4 linked regions of the Caenorhabditis elegans genome follow. The protein of the gene in region 1 interacts with the protein of each later gene in a biochemical or structural test. Each region holds a gene or a part of one and is shown on either strand. Other genes may lie near its edges.

Region 1 (6,462 bases):
CAGTCCTCCGCTCTACCAACTGAGCTATCGACGGCATGTTTTCGGTCGATGCCGCTGACACACACAAAACTGAAGAATGAGAGAAAACGCGCGCGGAAAGATGGAAGACCGGTTGCCGACAGTTTTCCGTTAAGAGGTGACGGAAAAAGTGTATACCCACAAAAACTGCGTATATTCCGGTTATTTTTCAAGTGTTTTCAGCGGTATTTTGAAAATTAAGCAGCAGAAAAAACTACATGCGCCTTTAAATTGAAGTACTGTAGAGAAAACAAATTGCAAGCCTAAAAACGAAAAAAAAACATTTATTTCGAATATCCCTTTTAATACATACCCTGATAGCTTTGGGTTTCTTCATAACTCGCTTGTTTTGAATATTAGAAGACGTATCACGCGAAGTCCCTGCCGTTTTCATAATTAATAGGAGTGAGCACAGACTGCAAAGAGAGCCCGGAACACAGAAAGAGCTCAGTAAAGCTGCTTTCAATTTCTCAAGGGCAGTTGGAAAGAGTTGGCATGGTAACGGATGTCAATTTGAGCACGCATCAACAGATTTGCGTGCGCGGAAAGCGGATTTTTCAAGAGAATAAGCATATGTTCATAAAACGATTATCGAAAAATTTTTATTTTTAGAAATAAAATGAGAGATTAGACAGCAAGGTTTGGTGGGATTGGAACAATTTCATCTTCATCTTCTTCTTCCGGATTCCACCAACGAACATCCAACTTGCGTCCTTCGAAATCTTCATTGACAGGATCCCAGAGGTTATAATTGAAATTTGGACGTGGAGGTGGATTGAATGGCTTTTCCTGAAACATGAAAAGATATTAAACTCATCTCCAACTCATGTATAAACCGGTTCTGGAATGATGCAGCAAACAGCACTGGCCAAGATCAGGAAACATGCCAACTCGAATAAGATTGCAATCATGTTTCGTATAAACTAAAACTGTTTAATTTCCCTCGAGTATCTAAACTGTTCAAATGTGCTTCTTCAAAAGTTCACGTTTGCAAAAAAAAACATTGATGAAATTAATTACGGAACTTTATTTGGGTTCGATAGACAGGAAAACAATGAATAAAACTGTGGAGGGGCTTTTGGGGAGATCTTCTCGTAACAAATGATAAATTAAATAGGATGTTTAGTCGACCTCCTCCATGCGGGAAGCATCCTCCTCAGCTCCCTCAATCTTGGCCTCAGCGGTGCACGATGATGGAACAGCAGAATCTTCAATTTCGTCATCTCCGATATCGAGACCAAGCTTGATCATTCTGTAGATGCGGGAAGCGTGAGATTGTGGCTCCTCAAGGGAGAATCCGGAAGCGAGAAGAGCAGTCTCGAAAAGAAGAACAACCAAATCCTTAACGGTCTTGTCATTCTTATCGACCTCGACACGATCACGAAGTGTCCTGAAATAGCAAAAACGTTTGTGAATGTTCATTTTAAAATAGTTTTTGGGTAACTTACTTCATGATAGCGTGGTCTGGGTTGATTTCGAGATGCTTCTTGGCGGCCATGTATCCCATAGTAGAGGAATCACGAAGAGCTTGAGCTTTCATGATGCGCTCCATGTTAGCGGACCATCCGTACTCGGAAGTGACAATGCAGCATGGGGAAGAGACAAGACGGTTAGAAACTCCAACCTTCTCAACCTTCTTCTCCAAAATGTCCTTGATGACCTTGCAAAGGTTTTCGTAGGCAACCTTGTCCTCTTCGAACTTCTTCTTCTCCTCCTCGGTTTCTGGGAGCTCGAGTCCTTCCTTGGTGACGGAGACAAGCTTCTTTCCATCATACTCCTTGAGTTGTTGGACGCAGTACTCATCAATTGGGTCGCACATGTAGAGGACTTCGAATCCGCGGCTCTTAACACGCTCGACGAAAGCTGAAGCAGCAACAACATCCTTGGACTCTCCGGTGATGTAGTAGATTTGAGTTTGGTTCTCCTTCATGCGGGAAACGTATTCCTTGAGGGAAGTTGGCTCATCTCCAGCGGAGGTAGAGTAGCGAAGGAAATCGGAAAGCTTCTTGCGGTTAGTAGAGTCCTCGTGGATTCCGAGCTTGAGATTCTTTCCGAATTGCTCGTAGAACTTCTTGAAGTTGTCTTTGTCCTCGGCAACCTCGTCGATAAGCTCCATGCACTTCTTGACAAGATTCTTACGGATGACCTTCAAGATCTTGGATTGCTGGAGCATTTCACGAGAGATGTTAAGTGGAAGATCCTCAGAATCGACGACTCCCTTGATGAAGTTAAGGTATTCTGGCATGAGCTCTTCGCAGTTCTCCATGATGAAGACACGACGAACGTAGAGCTTGATGGAGTTCTTGCTCTTCTTGTTCTCGAAGAGATCAAATGGAGCTCTTTGTGGGACGAAGAGAAGAGCACGGAATTCAAGTTGTCCCTCAACGGAGAAATGCTTGACGGCAAGATGATCTTCCCAGTCATTGGACAAGCTCTGAAATTAATGGAATTATTGCCATAAAATAATTAAAACTAAAAATACCTTGTAGAACTCAGCATATTCTTCGTTGGAGATATCGTCTGGGTTTCTGGTCCAGATTGGCTTGGTCTTGTTAAGCTCTTCGTCTTCGAAGTACTTCTCCTTGATTTTCTTGGTCTTCTTCTTGTCAGCGTCGTCAGCGACGTTCTCGACCTCTCCCTCCTTCTTCTCCTCATCCTTAGCCTCGACAGCCTCCTCATCTTCAACCTCCTTCTCACGCTCCTTCTCAACCACAAGCTTGATTGGGTATCCGATGAACTGAGAATGCTTCTTAACGATCTCCTTGATCTTGCGCTCCTCGAGGAAGTCAATCTGATCCTCCTTGATGTGCATGACAATCTTCGTTCCACGGGTGACCTCTGGGTCATTGAATGGACGAACGACGAAAGAACCTCCTGCGGAAGACTCCCATTGATAGCTGTCATCATCGTTGTTCTTGGATGTGACGACAACCTTATCGGCGACAAGGAAAGCAGAGTAGAATCCGACTCCGAACTGACCAATCATGGAAATATCAGCTCCAGCTTGAAGAGCCTCCATGAAGGCCTTGGTTCCAGACTTGGCAATGGTTCCAAGGTTGTTGACAAGATCGGCCTTGGTCATTCCGATTCCGGTATCCATAATGGTAAGGGTCTTTTCCTCCTTGTTTGGAGTAATTTTGATGAACAATTCCTTTCCAGTGTCAAGCTCGGATGGCTCGGTGAGTGCCTAAAACCGATATTTTAAAAAATTGACTCAGAAGCGAAAAAACAAACCTGGTAGCGAATCTTGTCAAGAGCATCGGAGGCGTTTGAGATCAATTCACGCAAGTAGATTTCCTTGTTACTGTAGAAAGTGTTGATGATCAAGCTCATCAACTGAGCAATCTCAGCCTGGAATGCGAAGGTTTCGGCGTTCTCGGACATGGTTCTGGAAAAATATCAATTAACAATCGAGCAACAAAAACTGAATAGAACTTTATAACGATTCAATGAATGAAAGAGCACGCATGGCGAATGATTTCGAAACTAAAAACACATTATAACCTTATCTAGAAATGAACTAATTTTAGGCCTAAAACTATTGTTCAAAAACCTTTAAAAATCAAAAACAATGATCCGTGATTAACATAAAAGCCATATTAGTGAGAGGAAAACCAAAAATCTTCACCCGAAAACCGAAAGAACTGGGAATATCAGAGCTCTGAGGCGTAATTGAAGGTCTAAATTTTGAACAAGATGCGAAATGTTCTCGAAGGAGGGCGTGGCCTTTCAATTTGATTGGTTGGTTTTCAAATTGCCCTTTTCGGCGGAAAATTCTCGACGAAAATTGTCAATAGAGCGCGTTTTCAGCACCTGGCCGAAGTTTTGCAGAATAGGTAACTAGGCCACAAACATTTTCTTGTTTTTAGTTTGAATTGTTTTTTCTTCATTTTTTTCAGATTACTTCGTCGAAAAGACGTTTTTTTGGTATTTTTGCACCAAAAAAAAATCTAAAATTATTATTCTATATTAAATAAAATCCCGAAATAAACTATATGTCACTCTCAATATTGAACTCGTTGAAAAATATTGCTTTCATTGGTTTTTATTTTATTTTTGCAGTTAATAAAATGTCCCGCGCCGACGAAGGCCGCTTGATTCATTTGGCAAAGAAACGTGAGCGTGAAAAGGAAGATATCGAACAACAATTGCGAAAGCTTGAAGAAGACAAAGAAAAATGTATGGTGAAACCCCTTTTTAATTATTAAAACTACAAATTTTGCAGGCAGGGTCGGAATTACGAATAAATTCATGGCAAACTATGAAACAGTCGAAGAAGTCGTGAAGTCTAAAACCTATGGCTTGGTATCATTGGATGATATGAAAAATATTCAGAAAAACGAAATTTCAAACAGGTTCGATTTTCTACATTTTGGAGAGCCTCACAATAAAAATGTGTACCTTATAGAGATCTACAAGTGGCCCGGGGAGACCAATCATCTTCTACTCAATCTAAAGATTCACAAGAAGCTCGAGAAAAAGAAGAACACGTTGCAAAACATACCCAGGTAAATGTGAAGGATTGCTGTAGAAATTTGGTTGTAGGCTCTAGACTCGGGTAGCAGTTGTAGTTCAATTGACTAGAGATTTCTCGTCGAAAGAGTCTTTTATACCAGATTTCTAAAAATTTGAGAACTTTCGAGAAAGAAAAATTGAGGGCAGGTGAGAGTGTGAGGAAACGCAGATATAAAACATTTTTGTAGAACATTCGAGAAAAACTGTTTTAATATTGCTAATTTCAGAAGCGATTTTTATCGTTTGCATTTGATGACGAAGAGGACGAAGAAGATGCTGCACCAATTATCCCGAAAAAGGTAAGAATAATAATTAAAAAGAAAAAATTAAAGCGAAAAATGTTTGCAGCGCGTTGGAATGGACCCAACTGTCGACACAAGCTTCCTGCCTGATAAAGAACGAGAGGAGTTCTTGAGAAAGTGAGTTCTAGAAGAAAAAACAACGACATTTCAAATTTTGGCGGGTGTAGATCATCCCGGTGAACAAATAAATAAAAAATAATAAGTCTGGTTTCAGAAAGAAAGAATCATTGGCAGCCGAGTGGCGTGTGAAGCAAGATGCCGAGAAAAACGAGGAAATTACAGTTGCCTACGCCTATTGGGATGGATCTTCACATCGGAAAAATATGAAAATCAAGAAAGGAAACACGATTTCGCAATGTCTAGGAAGAGCCATTGAGGTAATAATGAACTTCAGAAAATAAAAAAAAAGTGTTCTATGTATTTATTTTTTTGGAAATTTTTTGAGAAGGCAATTTATGAAATTCGACCGTTTCGGGCAAAAACCCACAAACTTTACTTCCCCTCTAAAATATTTTTTAATTGTTTTTTTTTTTCAACAAATCAAAAAATATTTATAAATATTCATTTTCAGGCTCTGAAAAAGGAATTCACGGAGCTTAAATCGTGCACAGCCGAGAATCTGATGTTCGTCAAAGAGGATCTCATCATACCACATTTCTACACGTTCCAAGACTTTATAGTCACAAAAGCAATGGGAAAGACTGGTCCGCTGTTCGTGTTCGATTCGGCTTCCGATGTTCGTATACGCCAAGATGCTGCACTTGACTATGGAGAATCTCATCCAGCGAAAATAGTACTTCGTAGTTGGTACGAAAAGAATAAGCACATTTATCCGGCGTCACGATGGGAACCATTCGTGCCCAGCAAGAAATACGGTCGTAATTTTGATGATCTCAGTGACTTGTAAATTATTAATCTCATGTTCTACTTTGAATTTGTTCCTGTAAAGTTTTCTGTTTGTTTTTGTGTTGAATTTCGAAACAAAAAATTTATATCAAATCTAAAATTTATATGAAACACTTTTTAAAAATAAGAAAAATTGGAGCAAATTAAAAACAAATAGGTAATCAAATGAGACAATTCATGAACCCGTTTACAACCGCCACTCTTGAAGTTTTTCATCATAAACTGCCGATGGCTTCGAGATACTTTCTGGAGAACTTAACGACATCTTCGATCCACCGTCACCAGCACCACCACACTCCAAAGAATTCGGAATACCATGGATCGGAGAGTATTCCTGTGGCTTTTTCGAATTGCCCATTAAACAAGTGATTCGCATTCCATGGAGAGTATCAACGGAAGCCGTGTGGATTAGCCGATTGCAGCAGAAATATATCGGGAAGCGAAGACAACTGAAAACTTGCTGGTTTTAGATTTTGCACTGAATTTGAATTTCCCATACCTTGCCAAAAGGGTAAAGATTGAAACTATATCATTTAGATAAGAGTACATAGTTGGAAATCCATCCTCGAGGCTCGAACGATTGATGGTCTCCCATACTGTTAGAAAAACCTGAAATACGATATAAGTTTCTCTCTCAAAAAATATATTTTTAGTTTTTACCTGAAGAGATTGCGACAAAAGATAAATGGAGACGAGACTGATTAATGCCCTTGTCGCATCC
Region 2 (5,230 bases), about 14 Mb from region 1:
GTGATAGCAAATATTAATTGCACACCGGAAAATGGCACAATCGGCGGGAACGTCTAGAACAAAATCGCAATATCCGAATAAAATATATTGCTCGAGAATTGTGTACGCGGAGATGAGGATGATAATCACGGCGAGCGGAATTTTGAATCGATGATTGTGATATGAAATCGGAGCGCATGTTGCGAAAATTCTATCGGATGTTATAAAAAATACAATCCAGCAGCGAATAGTTCCCAAGTTGAAGCCGGGCCAAGCGACGAAATATGCCAGGTTTTTCACAGAAAACTCGGGAAAAAGCGTTTTTATCAGGGAATAAATCAAAAATATTGATGCTGAAATTGTTTTTTTTTAATTCTTGTTTGTTGCCAATTTGCCGGAAATTTCAACTCCGGCAGTTTGCCGGTTTGCCGATTTGCCGGAAATCTTCAATTTCGGAAATTTGCCGGTTTGCCGGAAATCTTCAATTCCGGCAATTGGCCGATTTACCGGAAAATTCGATTCCAGCAATTGGCCGATTTACCGGAAATTTTCAATTCCGGCAATTCGCCGGTTTGCCGGAAAAGTTGTTTGCCGCCAACCCCTGACTGGGAATCCCGGTGCCAGGCTGTCCCATTTCGGTGTGATCTACAATAAATGCGGGAACTTTTTCGCCAGAAATATGTGACGTGAACATTGCCGGAATTGAAGATTTCCGGCAAATCGGCAAATTGCCGAAATTGAAATTTCCGGCAAATCGGCAAATTGGCGAAATTTAAATTTCCGGCAAACCGGCAAATTGCCGGAATTGAAAATTTCCGGCAAATCGGCAGATTGCTAAAATTGAATTTTCCGGCAAACCGGCAAATTGCCGGAATCGAAATTTCGGGTAAATCGGCAAATTGCCGGATTCGAAATTTCCGACAAACCGGCAAATTGCCGATAATTTTTCCGTTTTTTACGTATGACTGATAATTTGAACACTTACATTAAGATTTTACCATGTTTCAGGTTATAAGAAAATTTTATTTTTCAGATTTCCGATTTTTTCAATGAATTTCCTTTTTTTTCATCACTTTTTCTCGCTTCAAACATTGAAATTTCGATTTTTTCCGCAAAAAACTCGAGAAAAATGCGAACTCTCGTAAATCGACACACGCGGCGCGCTCCAATGAGAATGTCCCTGGCGCGCGTTTGAAAATGGTTTTGGGGAAAGAAACTCGCGATTTCGAGCAGAATCGGGCAAATTTGGAGAAATTTCCTAGATTCCGCTTAAAAATAACTCACTATCGAAAGAATAAATCACGTCGATTAGAAAACGGCAATAAATCAGTGATAATTCTGGCTTTTTCTGGATTTTCTTTCGTATAAATATTTGAGAAAGCAGGTAGAAATTCAGAAAAACGTTGATTTCGGTGAAAAAAATCGCTGAAATCGCTACCGACGTCACCAAAGAAGACATAAGGGAAGGAAGTTGTGACTTTTTTGTTTTCGACGAATTTTTTGGTTCAGCTTCCAGTCGAATGAACAATTTTGTAGTGCGAAGTACAAAAAAATGTCTGAAATTAATGAGATTTTGTTTGTCTTTTAGTTGCGACGACGATAAATATATTTTTATATTTTGAAGACGAGTCCAGAGGACGAGCGAGATGCAAAAAACACAGACCATGGGGGGGGGGGGGGGGAGAAAAATTCAAATAAAAATCAAATAATGGGTGAAAAACCGGGAGCAATCAAATAATTAGCGCATCTGAATGACTCCAGCGTCGCGGAGCTTCATGAGTTTCTGAAAGATCTCCGGATTCTTCAAGTGCTCTCGCACGGCTCCCGGGTCGTTGCTCATCTGCTCGAGAATCATACGCATTCCTGGGTCGCGGAGAATCTCCTGAACTTCTGGATCGGCGAGACTTCTCTCCTTGGCCTTCTCGGGATCCTCGTCGTTGCTTCGCAGACAGTTACGCACACCTTCACGGGCTTCTTCGTTGGATGGGTCGACTTGGAGAGCATCTTCGTAGGCTCGCTGAGCCTTCGACCACTCACGCATTGCGACGAGGCAAGCGGCTTTGCGGATGTATCCCTTGACTGAAATAATACAATTTTTAGTTAATTCTGAGCAAAAAAATTAGAAAATCGTACTAAATTTCGAGTCCAGCCGAATACAAGTGTCACAATCATCAAGAGCTCTCTGGAATTCCATCAATTTCGTCAGACACGCGGCCCGGTTTGAGTACAAAATCGCGTTCTCCGGATCACGCTTCACCGCTTCGTTGTAGTGCCTCATCGCTGTCGGATAGTCGCCCTTCTTGAAATACTCGTTTCCCTTGTTCTTCTCCTCCTGGGCAAGCTCTGGATTGATATAGGCAAGACGCTCGGCCGCCTTCAACTGCTTCTCGAGCTCCTTGACTTTCTTGACAAGCTCGGGGTCTCTGAACTCGGAGAGCGAGCGGTGGAACCATTGGACGGCTAAACTCAAGTCATTCTGCTTCTGGAAAGCGTTTCCGGCACGAGACATGGCCTTGGCGATAAGCTTGTAATCGGCACGGGTCTCGCGTCCAACTTCGACGGCTTTCTCGCAGAATTGCACACATTCCGCGAATTTTTTCTCCTCGAAATAGACGGCTGAAATTCGGAAAATTAGGGAAAATCTACAGTTTTTTTTAAATAAAAACCTACCGGCTTTGTTGTTGTAGAAGGTAATATTACTAGGATCAAGCTCGATCGCTTTGTCGTAGTGAACATGAGCTTTTTCAAAGTCCTTTTGCTTGTAGGCAGCATTTCCGAGATCTTTTTCAGCAATCGCCTGAAAATAGGGAATTTTAGTTGAATTTTATTGATTAATTGTTGAAAAACTTACGGCGTCCGTCATTTTTGCCGAAATATTGAAAAAATCTGAAAAAAAAATGAGATAAAAGTGAGCAGAAACGATGAAAAGAAGGAAATGAATCGAGAAAATGAGGAATTCTTCGAGAAAATTTGCCAATGGCAAACGCGCTCTATTGAGCGAGCGAGGCAGAGAGTGTGCGAAGGAGAGAGACGCAGAGAAAATAATCGCTTGGCGGGAGACGCTTGAATTTTAAATAATACCCGTTTCGTTTTAGATCGATTTTTATACATAAAAATATAGAAATTGATTAGGAAATTTAAAAAAGAAAAGTAAAGGCGCCCGGAATACCCAATGTGAACTGGATTTCACGATAAAAATACAGATACTCCGGAAAATAACGAGCATCGAGTCAAATTTTGAATTTTTCTGAATTTTGCTCCGAATTTTCCCGAAACTAAACAAAATTCTGACTTTTGTTATCATTAATTCGCGGAATAATGAATATTTTTGGTCAAAAATATGGTACCAGGTCTGGACGCGACTATTTTTGTTTAATGTAATCGGGTGTGCTCCTTTAAAGATTACTGTAGCGTCAAACTCTTGTTGTTGTGGAATTTTCATCGAGTTTTCATATTTTCGTCTCAACTGTTATTATTTAATAAAAAGACTTGAATAAAACAAATAAAAACACGTAAATTCTAAAAAAAAATCGATAAAAGTTCCGTACCAACAAAAGCTCGAAATTACAGTACTCTTTAAAGGCGCACACCTTTTCTCATTTGACAAAGGCTTGTCGTGTCGAGACCGGCTACCGTATTCTTGACGCAAAATGTTTACTTTAAAAGATAGAAAATGAGCCGTAATGACCGATTTATTGTATATACTTTGATGTGTGTAAATTTTCAGACATTTCTCTCGTGGTGTCATAATGTCCCATATCGTTGTGATCTACAAAAATTTTAAAATAATCAGATTCTTGCAAAGTGTAAAAACAAGTTTCGATTAAGTTATACAGTCCATTTTCTATCATTTAAATTGAATGTATTATTATTGAATAGTAACCAGTGCTACGGATGTGGGAAGTGTAGCATTTTTATTAGTGAATGGGCAACAATCTGGAAAATACACTCAACTTATTTGGCTGGCAACTTTTACTCACGAAATATTGCTTCACGGAAAGCCTTGATCACTAAAATTGTTGGAAGTGAGTCCAAGACTGGGTATAGAGCAACCGTCACACCAATTATCTCGCCAAACACTGGCCTTCCACAATGAAAAAAAGGCGCCAGAAATAGGACGAACGATGGCAACTGTATGAAAAACGCCGGGACAAGTGATTGCAACACCAAAGAATTTAAAAGTTGCAGTTGAATTGAACGGAATTTTTCGGAGTGGGAAGTCAGCTCGGTTAGCTTGGAGACCTCTTTGTAGCTTAAAGTTGCAAAAATGACAATCATTGCGAAGGAAATCGAGATCAGTGTCGATGCAATAGACATTCCCAACATTGTTCTCCAATTTATAACTTCATTTCTATTTTCATCAAGTTTCCAATAGTTGGGCCCAATATATGTTACGTCGGATATGTTTAACTTATTCTCGCGTAAATACCCATTCCTGAGAAGTTCAACAGAGTACAACAAGCATTTCATTTTACTCACCCCTGTAATATCTGTTCAGTATCCGTGTTGACCCATAGTGTACAATATAAATTGACTGCCCAGAGGAAACCGTAGATAACAGGAATCAAGAGCCAGATCAACGTTTTTCGGAGTGATTTTGTTTTAAGAAATGAATGGCTGAAAAAGGTTAACGTTTTAAAATTTTTATTATATTAATTCCACAATTTTCAAAATTTTTCTAGAAAGTTTTATTTTCTCAGAAATTGAATTTCTTGCCAAAATTTTTTCTCATAGTCAGAAAATTTGAATTCCCGCCAAAACGAATGGCTTTAGCCATGATAGGTCTCACCACGACTTTTCCTTTAAACTTCAGTGAATTTTTTCTAAACTATAGTAATCCTACAGTACCCTTACAGTACTGCGACCATCTAACCCCACTAAATCCAAACCAATATCCTCTCAAAAAACGAAAAGTCAGATATTCCAAGACTACAGTAATCCTACACTACCTCTACAGTACTGCGACAGTCTAACCCCAAGCCAATATTCTTCCTAAACACGAAAAGTCAATTTTTCCTAAACTACAGTACCCTTACAGTACCCCTACAGTACCCCTCAGATAGACTGGAGTCACGGCAGAGCGATAGAAAATCACTGCTAATTAGCATTTATGTCACGGCTTAGTCAACCGCAGTAATTGTGCTTTTCCGCTGATTAGCGGTGATGTTTTGCTACGTAGTTATGCTTTCTTGCTAGCTAGTTTTGCTTTCATATTGGATTAAACTTTTATAAAACCATAAAAAATAACACG
Region 3 (5,259 bases), 3.9 Mb from region 1:
ATTAGAAATTCGTACCTTCTAGTTTGTTTAGTCGTTTCAGCAAAATAGTCGATATTTTCATAGTTATAGATTTTATATAATAAAAATTAAATCACAAGTGTCTCATGGTAAAGAAGATTTCCAATAAACATGCCACTGTGTTGAAGAAACTAAATAAAAACAAAAGTGACGAATTACAGCGTTGCCCGCATGGAGGAGTTGAGACGATGAATATGTTTTTAATTTATGTGAAAAAGATAAAAATCAATTAACGAAAAAATTCACATGCATTAAACATTTAGAGAAGTGTAAACATTTTAATTTTCACAATAAATGTTTGGTAATTAGATTCTCCGGGAATTTTGCGTCGATGAAGTGGTCATAAAGCGCGCTCTACCGCACTCAGTTCGAATGATGACAATTTCACCGGGTTTTCTTTTTCATTTGCTCCTCGCTTTAAAGCAAACGCTTTCTTGTTGTCAATTGGTGTTCGATTAAATTTCTCAGTTAAAATAAATTTTTCAGAAATCACTGAAAAATGGGAGATCACTATGGATTCTCACTCACCACCTTCAGGTAGTTTAAATTCAATCTCCAGAAAAGTCAATTTTATTTTTATAGCCCATCGGGAAAATTGATGCAAATCGAATATGCATTGAATGCTGTCAAGAATGGGCAACCATCGGTTGGACTGAGAGGTATTCAAGTTTTTGTCTTGTACTGTCGTTTTCAATGGGAAATTCATTTTCAGCTAAAGACGGAGTCGTTCTTGCGACCGAGAATGTCGGATCTGTTCTCACCGATGACCAGCCAAAGGTAGAACAAATCAGCAAGCATATTGGATGCGTCTACAGTGGAATGGGACCAGACTTCCGTATTTTGGTGAAGAAAGCTCGCAAGATTGCTATGGAATACGAAATGATGTACGGCGAGGAAATGCCAACCATTCAACTTGTCACTGACATCGCGGCCGTAATGCAGGAATATACTCAATCTGGGTGAGTTAGAACTTTTCTAAACGCACTCTATTCAGATTTTTCAGTGGTGTTCGTCCGTTTGGAGCATCGCTTCTTATCGCAGGTTGGGACAAAAATCCAGGACGGCCATTGCTCTTCCAATGTGATCCATCTGGAGCTTACTTCGCATGGAAAGCAACAGCACTCGGGAAAAACGACGTCAATGCGAAAACATTCCTCGAGAAGCGCTTCAGCGAGGCCCTCGAGCTCGATGATGGAATTCACACTGCTCTTCTGACACTGAGAGAATCGTTCGATGTTGGCATGAACGAGAACAACGTTGAGGTGGCTGTTTGTAACTCGACCGGATTCCATCGGCTCACCAAGCAACAAGTCCATGATCACCTTGGAACTCTTTAAATCGAGTGATTTCACAATTTTCTTTCTTTCTTTTCTCTAATTTATTCTATGTATTCTCCCATCTATCCGTACCCGGTAGTAATCTCTTTTTGCTACGGTGTTTTGTTGGAACAATGAATCCTTTTACCGTTTTACACCCGACTTTTGAGGTACTTTTATTAAGGTGTATAACCCTATTAGGTTGTTTATCTTGACTGAATTTTCTCAGACTTATGAACAAACTTGTTTTCAGCTATTAATCAAAATGTCTTCAAAACCAAGGTGAGCATTAAAATTTACAGGATAGTGAATTTTAAAAATTTTGAAATAAGAATTCGTTACATTCAAATTTCAGGCATGATTGGTTCCAGAGTGAAACTGATGTCACTTTAACTATCCTAAAACGCGGAGTGCCTCTCGATGATTGCTCTGTTTCTCTATCAGATAACAACACACTGACGGTCAAGCAATGTGATGAGATTCTCTTCTATGGACAATTATCTGGTCAAGTGAAAAAAGATGATCTTACTGTAAAATGCACTGCCGCCAAGGTTAGTTGGGTTGAAATATTATTGTAGATCCATTAGAAACTAGAAAACTAGATAAATGTCTAAACGTCAAGATTTTCTAGTGATCCTCCCAAGCATACCTTATTTATTAAATTATGGTTATTAACATTAAAAACATGTTTTCCGGCCATGGAAAATTGATTGGAATTTGTTTAATTTTAGTGTAGTTTATTTTAACTCGATTGAAACAGTTATTCAAGAATAGTCTGAGAAATTGCGTCTAGTCAGAAAATGCTAGCTATTAATGCTATTAATGCTCTACATTCACCTGAACGAGTTATAGATTGTACCAAGTAAGGACATGTGGCTCAGTGGTAGAATATACCCTTACTACGCATACAGTTGTGGTTCGGTAACGACAGGATGATGAGTCACTCGCTGAGTGACAATAAGCCGAGTGTTAGCGGTTTTTATGTAATCGTGATGATCATTCCCTCAAAAGCGATAATTGTGAACTGACTGTCCGAAACCACAAAAAAAAATAAAAAATTGCGTTCCATAATAACTTGATTGGATTTAAAAACGTCCAGAGCAAAATTTTTGAATAAAACAACTTTTATTTAAAACTTATTCCAGGTAGAAGTTCGACTTCCGAAATTCGCTCGCAATGAACGATGGGCTTCTCTGCTGAAAGACGGACAAGGTGTTGCCGCTTCTGTACAGAGTGTATCACCAAATCCAGAAAGTGCACCAACTACTACTGTGAAAAAGAATTGGGATGCTATCGAGAAACAAGCTGTAAAAGAAGAGGAAGATGAATCGCTGGAAGGTGATGCCGCTGTAAACAAAATGTTCCGTAAGATGTACAACGACGCTTCGGATGATGTCCGACGTGCCATGATGAAGAGCTATTCGTAAATCGTTATTGCCTGAAAACCAAGAGATTATAGTGATTATTTTCAGTGAATCAAATGGAACCGTCTTGTCTACAAATTGGTCTGAAATTGGTCAAAAGAAAACGGAATGTCAGCCACCAGCATGTATGGAATATAAGGAATATGAAAAGTGATGATTAAATTCTTATTTTGTTATATGAACACCGCCAAAAATGAAACTTCATGTCAAATGTTTTGTTTTAAAGTTTAATTAAAATCTCATATCCTCGATATCCCCTTCAGATTCGTTGGTCCCCTGACGCTTGATAACTGCTTTGTCTCTGGAGGTGTATAATTTTTCATAACCATTATGTGGTTCCGGATCTGTTGGATCTGTGGATTGTGAGCTCGTATCTGATTCAAATGGAAGAAAAGCTTGTGATAGTGATGGACGTTTCTTATTTGTCATTTCCAATCTGATGGTATTCATTGTCTCGGTCTTGGCGACCTTTCCAGCTATTTGTTCGATCCATTTCTCCGTTTCGTTTTTCTGCTGGCTCCACTGTTGTTTTACTTGATCCTGAAACGTTATATTACTCAATTGAAGATAATAGCTCTGATCACCTGAATATAGGATTCAATGTCTTCTGCATGCCTCCTCATCTCTTCAAGAGACATATCTTTCAAATCCGGATCTTCAACAGAAACAGTTTGCACTTCAGTGTAATCTAGCTGAAAAGAGCATTCTGGATGGACAATCGTGTTGTGGCATCGCGTGAAGCTCAATGGTGCTGGTGGAGCACGATTTGGCGGTGGAGGTGGTGTACGATCATCGCCCAAACGAATCTCGACATTGCATTGTGCACTAGATGAACCCGGAAATTGATTCGATGACGGTGAGAACGATATCGTGTCATATTTATGACTTCCCTGTGGTCGGAGAGCAGATTCAGAACGATTACGACCATTTGCGGAGAGAATCGGAGGCGAAAAAAGTTGTTCCACACTTGTAGACTGTAAACAGGAAGGAATGTTATTTATTATTTTGTTGTGGACTTAAGTGTACTTTAAAAACATTACAATATTCGGTATGGAACGTAAATATTCTGTAAAATACAAAACTGTTCAAATTTACAATTCTTCTAATTTCGTACTAACAAATTTGATAATACATTTGAGAAGTGTCACGTCACACTGTAAAAAGGTTACTGTGGCTTGCGTCGATTTATGGTATTGCATCATCCTTTTCAACAAAAAACATGAAAGGTAGCATACAAATAATCTCATATGTAGTAATAGCTATACTTACTATTATCAGGTTGTCCCATAAGTTTTTGTACTTTTTTTCAAATATTTTTCCAAAACTTCTAGAAAGTTTTAAAATTTTTTCATCGTAGGTCGTGTCAAGGTCGGGTCGTCCCCTTTCAGAAAAGATTCATTTCATCCATTTCTACTTTGCCACGATGACAATCATCAAACTTGAACGTCGAGACGTTAGATTGCTTCTTCTTTATGAATTTCGTCTTGGTCATTCAGCAATGGAAGCGGAACGAAACATATGCGGTGCGATGGGTGAGGGAGCACTCTCTTATAATACAGCAAAGAGTTGGTTTCAAAAGTTCAAGAACGGCGACTTCAGTCTCGAAGAAATAGAACGTTCTGGGCGACCGGTAGAGTTAAATGAAGAAGACCTAGTGAAGCTGGTGGAGGAAGAGCCTCGTCTTAGTCTTCGTGAAATGGAAGAGAAGCTTGAGTGTTGTCATAGCACAATTGCACGTCACTTGGGTCGCCTTGGTTTTACTTCAAAACTTGGAACTTGGGTGCCTCATGAACTTTCGGCATCACAGAAGCTCACTCGGGTCAACGTTTGTACTCAACTTCTAACTTTTCGTCGAAAGTTCGATTGGCTGAACAATCTGGTTACTGGAGATGAGAAGTGGGTGCTCTATGTTAACCATTCCAGAAAACGTCAATGGCTTCCGATCGGTGAGAAAGGAATACCGACGCCAAAGCCCAAAAAAGATTATGATCTGTGTCTGGTGGGGTGTTCAAGGACCCGTGCACTGGGAATTGTTGCCAACTAATAAAACTATCACTGCTGATTACTATTGTGCCCAATTGGACCGAGTTGCAGAAAAGACCAACGGAAAATATGAAAAACTATATTTTCTTCACGATAATGCTAGGCCTCATGTCGCCAAGAAGACTTTCCAAAAGCTGCAAGATCTTGGTTGGACTGTTTTACCGCATCCACCATATTCTCCAGATCTTGCACCAACCGACTACCATTTGTTCTTGTCTCTCAGTGACTACATGCGCGACAAGCAATTCGACGACGAAGAGCATCTCAAAACTGAACTCTCCACTTTCTTCTCATCGCGTTCGCCGGATTTCTTCTCCCGTGGCATCATGATGTTACCTAGTAAATGGCAACAAGTGGTGGACACTAATGGTGAATACTTGTGTGAATAGTACTACTTGTCGCTTGAGAGAAATAAATTTTTTTCAAAAAAAAAATAGTACAAAAACTTATGGGACAAC
Region 4 (5,555 bases), 6.2 Mb from region 1:
TACTCGATTTCCCAAAAAGGAACATCTTTTTTAAAGTTCCGTTTTCCGTTTTCTTCAGAAAAATTTCAATATAAAGAAAACATTTCAATTTTTTTTAATGTTCAGATATTACTAAAAAAAAACACACACACACAAAATTCTGAGAATACGTATTGCGCAACATATTTGAAATATCTCGTAGCGAAACCTACAGTAATTTTTTAAATGTCTACTGTAGCGCTTGTGTCGATTTACGAGCTCAAATGGATTAAAACACATTTATTTATCGAAAAAGTATTGAAATTAAGTTAATAATTAGAAAATAATGCGAAGAAACGAATGAGCCCGTAAATCGACACACAAGCGCTACAGTATACTATAGTCATTTAAAGAATCACTGTAGTTTTCGTGACGAGATATTTTACGCGTCAAATATGTTGTGCAATACGCATTCTCAGAATTCTGTGTTCATGTAATAAAGTCGATGGTTTTAGAAATTTTCGAATTTTTTTTCAAATCCAGTTCAAAAAATTCGATTTTGAATTTTATCCGAAAATCTTCAATTTCCAGACGTCCACTTCCTGTGAAAGTGTTCTCATCGAACTCTTTTGGCACAGTTACATCGAACAATTATCCAAATTCTCCGGATTCCTTCCTCATCCAATACTATCTCATTCAATGTCCAATTGCTCATCACGTGGCACTGAAATTGAAGGCGATGCAGCTGGATAAATCCGATCGAGTCAAGATATTTAATGGAAACGATGAAACCGCGGGAAAGTTGAAAATGTGAGTGACTTTGATTGAAATTGTAATTTTAAAGAATTAAAAAGTGATTATAGATTCCGTCAATTCTCTCCAAGCTCTGTGGATCTCATAAAAACTACGCAGAACTCGATGTTCATCTCTTATGACACCGGAGAGCAGTTCAATGCATCTAACCACTGGGCCTTTGAATACAATTGTATTCCGGATGGGAACCTGGGAGACGAAATAATTATCTAACCTGACTGGATTGTACATGTACAGAGCAATAAATCTTAATTTAAATAAATATTACAGTATACAACTACCATGATATGCGATATCAATAAAAGGGAAAACAATAGCTTGAATTCTGGGGAAGAGAGATCACAATGAAAACACATTACGAATAAATAGGGGATACTGGGAGAGAGAGGTTATCTAAGCATTGGAAGTAGAGCTTCCAGACGTGGATGCAACGATTTCATCTTCATCCTCAACAGTGTTGGTTGGCTTGTCTTCTTCTGTGGAGATTTTGGCGAATAGATTCTTGAAGCGCTTCTTGTCACGCTCGTTTTGCTCGCGGATCGTGTTACGGCAGACGATGATTTGTTGAGCGGCGGCCTGAATTAATATATTACAAATTATAAACTCAACAGATTTCCTGCAAACCTTATTCTCCGGCTCTACTTCCACAATCTTCTCGAACAACTTCATGGCATCTCGGACTTCGTTCATGGTCAAGAGGGCAGTTGCTTTGCGATACAGTGCCTTGACGTTTCCTGGTTTCGTTTCCAGGACCTTATCGCACCACTTGATGCACTCCAATTGCTCGTTTTGCTTCGAACAAACCAGACTCAAATTAAGATACGCTCCGTTCAAAATTGTCTCTCTTTCGGCCATCTTCTCGGGATCAGTTGACTTTTCATACTCCAACACTTCCTCGGCCCGCTTGTACTTGTTGTAGGCCAATTTGAGATTTCCCTTCTGCAAGTACATGGTTCCACGATCTTTGGCTTGTTTCGCAGCATCAAGCTTCTCCTCTGCAGTCATTTCCCAAGTCGCTGGAACTTTTTCGAACTCCTTCAGGAAAATTGTGAATTCAAGAGTAGCATTGACTGGAATATTTGATCCAGCAGGTGGAGAGTTTCCGTAGGTGTACTTATGACCGCGAATTTCAATTTTTGACTTTTCTCCAAGCTGGAAACGACGCAAAGCCCGCTCGACACCTTCCGGAAGGCCTTCTTCCGAACCTTCTCCGATGTGGAAGTTCACTTCACGATTGTAGAACTCCGTGCCTTGATAGGTTCCGACGCAATGTGCCAAAACCTTGCTGGTGTCATTTGGGAAAGAGTTTTTGGATCCTTCGACGATAATCGTTCTAAGAATCGTCCCATCCCTGTCCGGAGAGATATCCTCGGCGCTCCATTCAAAAAGCTCCACTTCGAAGATCAGCGTTGCCCCTCCTGGAATCTTCGGTGGTGATCCCGCGTCTCCATATCCATAATCCGAGCGAATTGTGAATTCCGCCACCTCGCCTTTGGTCATTGTGGCAACACCGAGATCCCAACCTGGAAATTGATGATTTTCTACACGCTAACATTACTCTGAATACCTTTAATCACATTTCCTCTTCCCAAATTGAATGAGAATTGATCACCGCGATCTCTGGATGAATCGAATTTGGTTCCATTCTCAAGAGTTCCGACGTAATGCACCTTCACGGTCGTTCCAGTGGTTGGCTTGACAACTCCTTGACCCTCCTTCTTGATGAGTTTCAACACTCCACCGTCCTTCTTTGGGGTGATATCGATCTTTTCGCCGGACATCTTGCGAATCTCGCTAATTTACCTGAAAATATTAAAATAAAGTTATTGAAATCTGAACCAGGGCTGTGCGGCGCTTTTTCCAGAAAACGCACAAAACTGCTTATTTCAAAATTAATGTAGAAATGTAGAAAAAGCTTTGTTCTATCTGAAAATAACATTTACTTTTGTTGAAAAGCTACAAAAAGACACATTCAAGCACTATTTGAAGCGTTTTTGAAGGCTTTTTTGAAGGCCATTTTAAGCTGGAACAAATATTTTTCTACATCTCTACATTAACTTTGGATAAGCCGTTTTGTGTGTTCGTCGCGCAGCCCTGATCTGAACAATGACGGTAGGCGAACATCAATAAGAGAACGCAGCAGAAAAAAGTAAATTCGAATGAGATTAACGTAAAATTACTTCATATAACTTGAAAATCACGTAAAGTGAGCTCTAGAACATTCCAATTCTTTGCGCGTCATTTAGAGCGCCAAGTACGCAACTCACTTGCGCGTGTTTGCACAGAAAACGCCGTTTGCCATTGTTGACCGTACCCCAAAATGTTCGATTTTTCGAGGCACATCGATTTCCTTGGAATTTTTCATGTTTCTTAACGTTTTTCAGTCGAAAATTGTATGAAAACTCAATTTTCAGTAATAAAACCTCTGTGAGTGATGGAGAACGCCGACGAGTACGATCACTTGGCGCCGAAACTACGCGGGAAGAAGGAGGGGTTGGTTTCTATTGATTTTTCGACTTTAAAGTTTGTAAATTACAATTTTTCAGCACGTTCGCCTATTACACTGTAAGAGACCGATGGCCGAAGATTGTTACTGGGCTAGTCGATCAATTGGCTCAAAAAAGAGCGAGCCTTATTGAGAAATATGGCAGTGTTCGTAAATATATTGAATTAAAATCAAATTATAATTGTATTTTCTTTCAGGAAGTTGAATCAGATATTGCAGCTATTTTAGAAGTTTTTTCAAAGCTTCGATATGAAATCATGACTGACAAGCCACTTTGCAATCTAATGGACACCCAGTTGGATTCTGAAATGTGGAGAAATTTGCTCAGCGACATGAGAACTGCTGCAATGGTAAATAATTCTCTTGAATTCAATTAATTAATGATTTTTTCAGCCCGACGAAGTTGAAGATCTCACTTTTTTCAAAGGACCATGGCTTTTTGTTGAGTGCTGGCTCTACAGATTCATCTGGAGCACGTTTGCAAAAACTATTCGCCTCAGCGAATATGATTATTTCCAGGACTCGAAGCGCAAAAATTTCCTAGATCAGTAAGAATTTTTTCTGTGGCAATTCGATTGTTTAGAAGAAAAATTGGTTTTTATCAGTAATCCAAAACTATAGGAGTACTCTGATTCAGTGGTGGGCGGCAATTACCGTTCGGCAAATCAGCAAATTGCCGGTTTGCCAGAAATTTTAATGTTTGTCAAATTGCACATTTGCCGCAAATTTTCAATTCCGACAAATGTCGGTTTGCCGATTTGCCGGAAATTCTCTTTTCCGGCAATTTGCCGGCTTGTCGATTTGCCGAAAATGCTCAGAGAGATTTTTTATAAGACGGAAACACTTAAAACTGTGCCTTTATATAATTTTTTCCGTTTTCTTCAGCTATTTTTATAGAATTTGTTTACTTTTCACAATAGATCTATGAACATTCATAGGATGCGTACAATTTGCCCAAAATTTTCGGCAATCTGCCGGTTTGCCCATTTGCCGGAAATTTTCAATTTCGAAATTTTCAATAATAAATGCATTTCTATCAAAAAGCATTAAAAAAATCGATCAAAATTAGACAGGAAAAAATGTTTGAAATTACAGTACTTTTTAAAGGCGCACACTTTTGTTTGCAATAACAAAAAGTATTTTTGGTGGAAAAAATCACAAAATTTATTTTCTCATCGAAAAGTTGAAAATAATCATTTCAGCCTCCCACAAATCGAAGAGTCGGCGGCATTTATCAATAAAATCTCAGCGAAAGATGCTCCAGTTCATGAACTATTCGGAATCAACACAATACTGAAAATGAGCTTGTGGGGAAACCGAGCTGATATGTCATTGACTGGTGGAGACGATCATACCTTGGTAAATTATTATGCGGAACAGTTTGAAACCAGGGGTGTGCGGCTAATAACTGATTTAGCCGAATTTACCGATTGGCTGATTTGGCTAATATTAGCCGAATGATCTGCTTGCCGAGTTTTTTACCAATTAGCCGAATTCGCGGACTTTTTGGCAGTTTGGCTAATTTAAAGTTTTCCGGTAGCCGACTTTGGCTGATGTTAGCCAACACATTTTTTTGGAAAACAAAATTTTTTGAATTTATATGAGTTTTTTTCTATTTGATTTTTTTTGGTTTTGCTCAATAACAGTGAAAAAATTAACCCAAAACCTGAATTGACAGAAAGAACGAAAAAAAGCTTAACCATATGAATATTTTCTGAAATTGCCGAATTATCCGTTAGCCGGTTTTTCTAAACCAGCATTAACCGATTTATCCGTTTGCCGAAAAATCGGTTATCCGCACACCAATGTTTGGAACCTGAAAATGAATTCTATTAACAAATTTTGTTACCTATTTACAGGCGATGTCATCAATGTCGGCTTCTTCAAAACTAGCAGATTTCGTACTTATCGACGATGTCAACGATATGATTGTGAAGGTTCTTGGTCCATTAAAAATCAATGCAAATCACGAAACTAATCGAAGAATCGACATAATTCTCGATAATTCTGGAGTCGAATTGACTGGAGACCTGATCGTCGCCGAGTTTTTCATCTCTCGTGGTTTTGCCGATAAAGTTGTAATTCATGGAAAAGCGATCCCGTGGTTCGTGAGTGACGTCACTAAACCTGATCTCGATTGGACAATTGAACAGCTGAAAAATGGTGAAAATATTGGAGAAGAGAGTCGAGCATTGGGAGAAAAACTCGAAAAACGGATGAAATCGGGCCAAATTGTGTATCAAGACCATCTTTTCTGGATATCCCCACATGCTTATTA

The links.
Region 2: the proteins of hsp-90 (region 1) and sti-1 form a complex in vitro, tested with the Caenorhabditis elegans proteins (one study listed by BioGRID).
Region 3: the proteins of hsp-90 (region 1) and D1054.3 form a complex in vitro, tested with the Caenorhabditis elegans proteins (one study listed by BioGRID).
Region 4: the proteins of hsp-90 (region 1) and fkb-6 form a complex in vitro, tested with the Caenorhabditis elegans proteins (one study listed by BioGRID).

What each region holds. Positions count from the first base shown.
Region 1 is NC_003283.11:14,683,104-14,689,565, reverse strand, and holds hsp-90 (Heat shock protein 90), read right to left. Parts: upstream 3,407-6,462; 5' UTR 3,403-3,406; coding exon 3,253-3,402; intron 3,206-3,252; coding exon 2,501-3,205; intron 2,453-2,500; coding exon 1,467-2,452; intron 1,409-1,466; coding exon 1,141-1,408; 3' UTR 1,027-1,140; downstream 1-1,026. Other genes in the region: gasr-8 (uncharacterized protein), read right to left, coding at 332-412; C47E8.11 (uncharacterized protein), read right to left, coding at 646-807, 855-929; C47E8.4 (Protein FAM50 homolog), read left to right, coding at 4,089-4,197, 4,244-4,373, 4,427-4,526, 4,761-4,832, 4,882-4,952, 5,050-5,212, 5,407-5,742; C47E8.3 (G-protein coupled receptors family 1 profile domain-containing protein), read right to left, coding at 5,929-6,190, 6,241-6,350, 6,402-6,462. UniProt on the Caenorhabditis elegans protein: Molecular chaperone that promotes the maturation, structural maintenance and proper regulation of specific target proteins involved for instance in cell cycle control and signal transduction. Undergoes a functional cycle that is linked to its ATPase activity.
Region 2 is NC_003283.11:771,203-776,432, reverse strand, and holds sti-1 (Stress-induced-phosphoprotein 1), read right to left. Parts: upstream 2,916-5,230; 5' UTR 2,843-2,915; coding exon 2,831-2,842; intron 2,777-2,830; coding exon 2,650-2,776; intron 2,596-2,649; coding exon 2,113-2,595; intron 2,059-2,112; coding exon 1,718-2,058; 3' UTR 1,658-1,717; downstream 1-1,657. Other genes in the region: srbc-58 (Serpentine Receptor, class BC (Class B-like)), read right to left, coding at 1-332, 1,264-1,438; str-238 (Seven TM Receptor), read right to left, coding at 3,848-3,915, 3,960-4,414, 4,459-4,596. UniProt on the Caenorhabditis elegans protein: Plays a role in gonad development. Up-regulates longevity and thermotolerance. Binds daf-21/hsp90 and inhibits its ATPase activity.
Region 3 is NC_003283.11:10,769,864-10,775,122, forward strand, and holds D1054.3 (SGS domain-containing protein), read left to right. Parts: upstream 1-1,587; 5' UTR 1,588-1,599; coding exon 1,600-1,616; intron 1,617-1,689; coding exon 1,690-1,885; intron 1,886-2,261; exon of another isoform or gene 2,262-2,367; intron 2,368-2,479; coding exon 2,480-2,757; intron 2,758-2,806; coding exon 2,807-2,912; 3' UTR 2,913-2,969; downstream 2,970-5,259. Other genes in the region: D1054.1 (PNPLA domain-containing protein), read right to left, coding at 16-61; pas-2 (Proteasome subunit alpha type-2), read left to right, coding at 518-555, 601-677, 731-977, 1,022-1,355; D1054.5 (CBS domain-containing protein), read right to left, coding at 2,990-3,298, 3,343-3,732.
Region 4 is NC_003283.11:20,843,177-20,848,731, reverse strand, and holds fkb-6 (peptidylprolyl isomerase), read right to left. Parts: upstream 2,575-5,555; 5' UTR 2,553-2,574; coding exon 2,339-2,552; intron 2,295-2,338; coding exon 1,396-2,294; intron 1,348-1,395; coding exon 1,165-1,347; 3' UTR 1,005-1,164; downstream 1-1,004. Other genes in the region: clec-264 (C-type lectin domain-containing protein), read left to right, coding at 550-768, 822-984; F31D4.2 (Sugar phosphate phosphatase), read left to right, coding at 3,206-3,264, 3,318-3,423, 3,475-3,627, 3,671-3,825, 4,480-4,636, 5,137-5,555.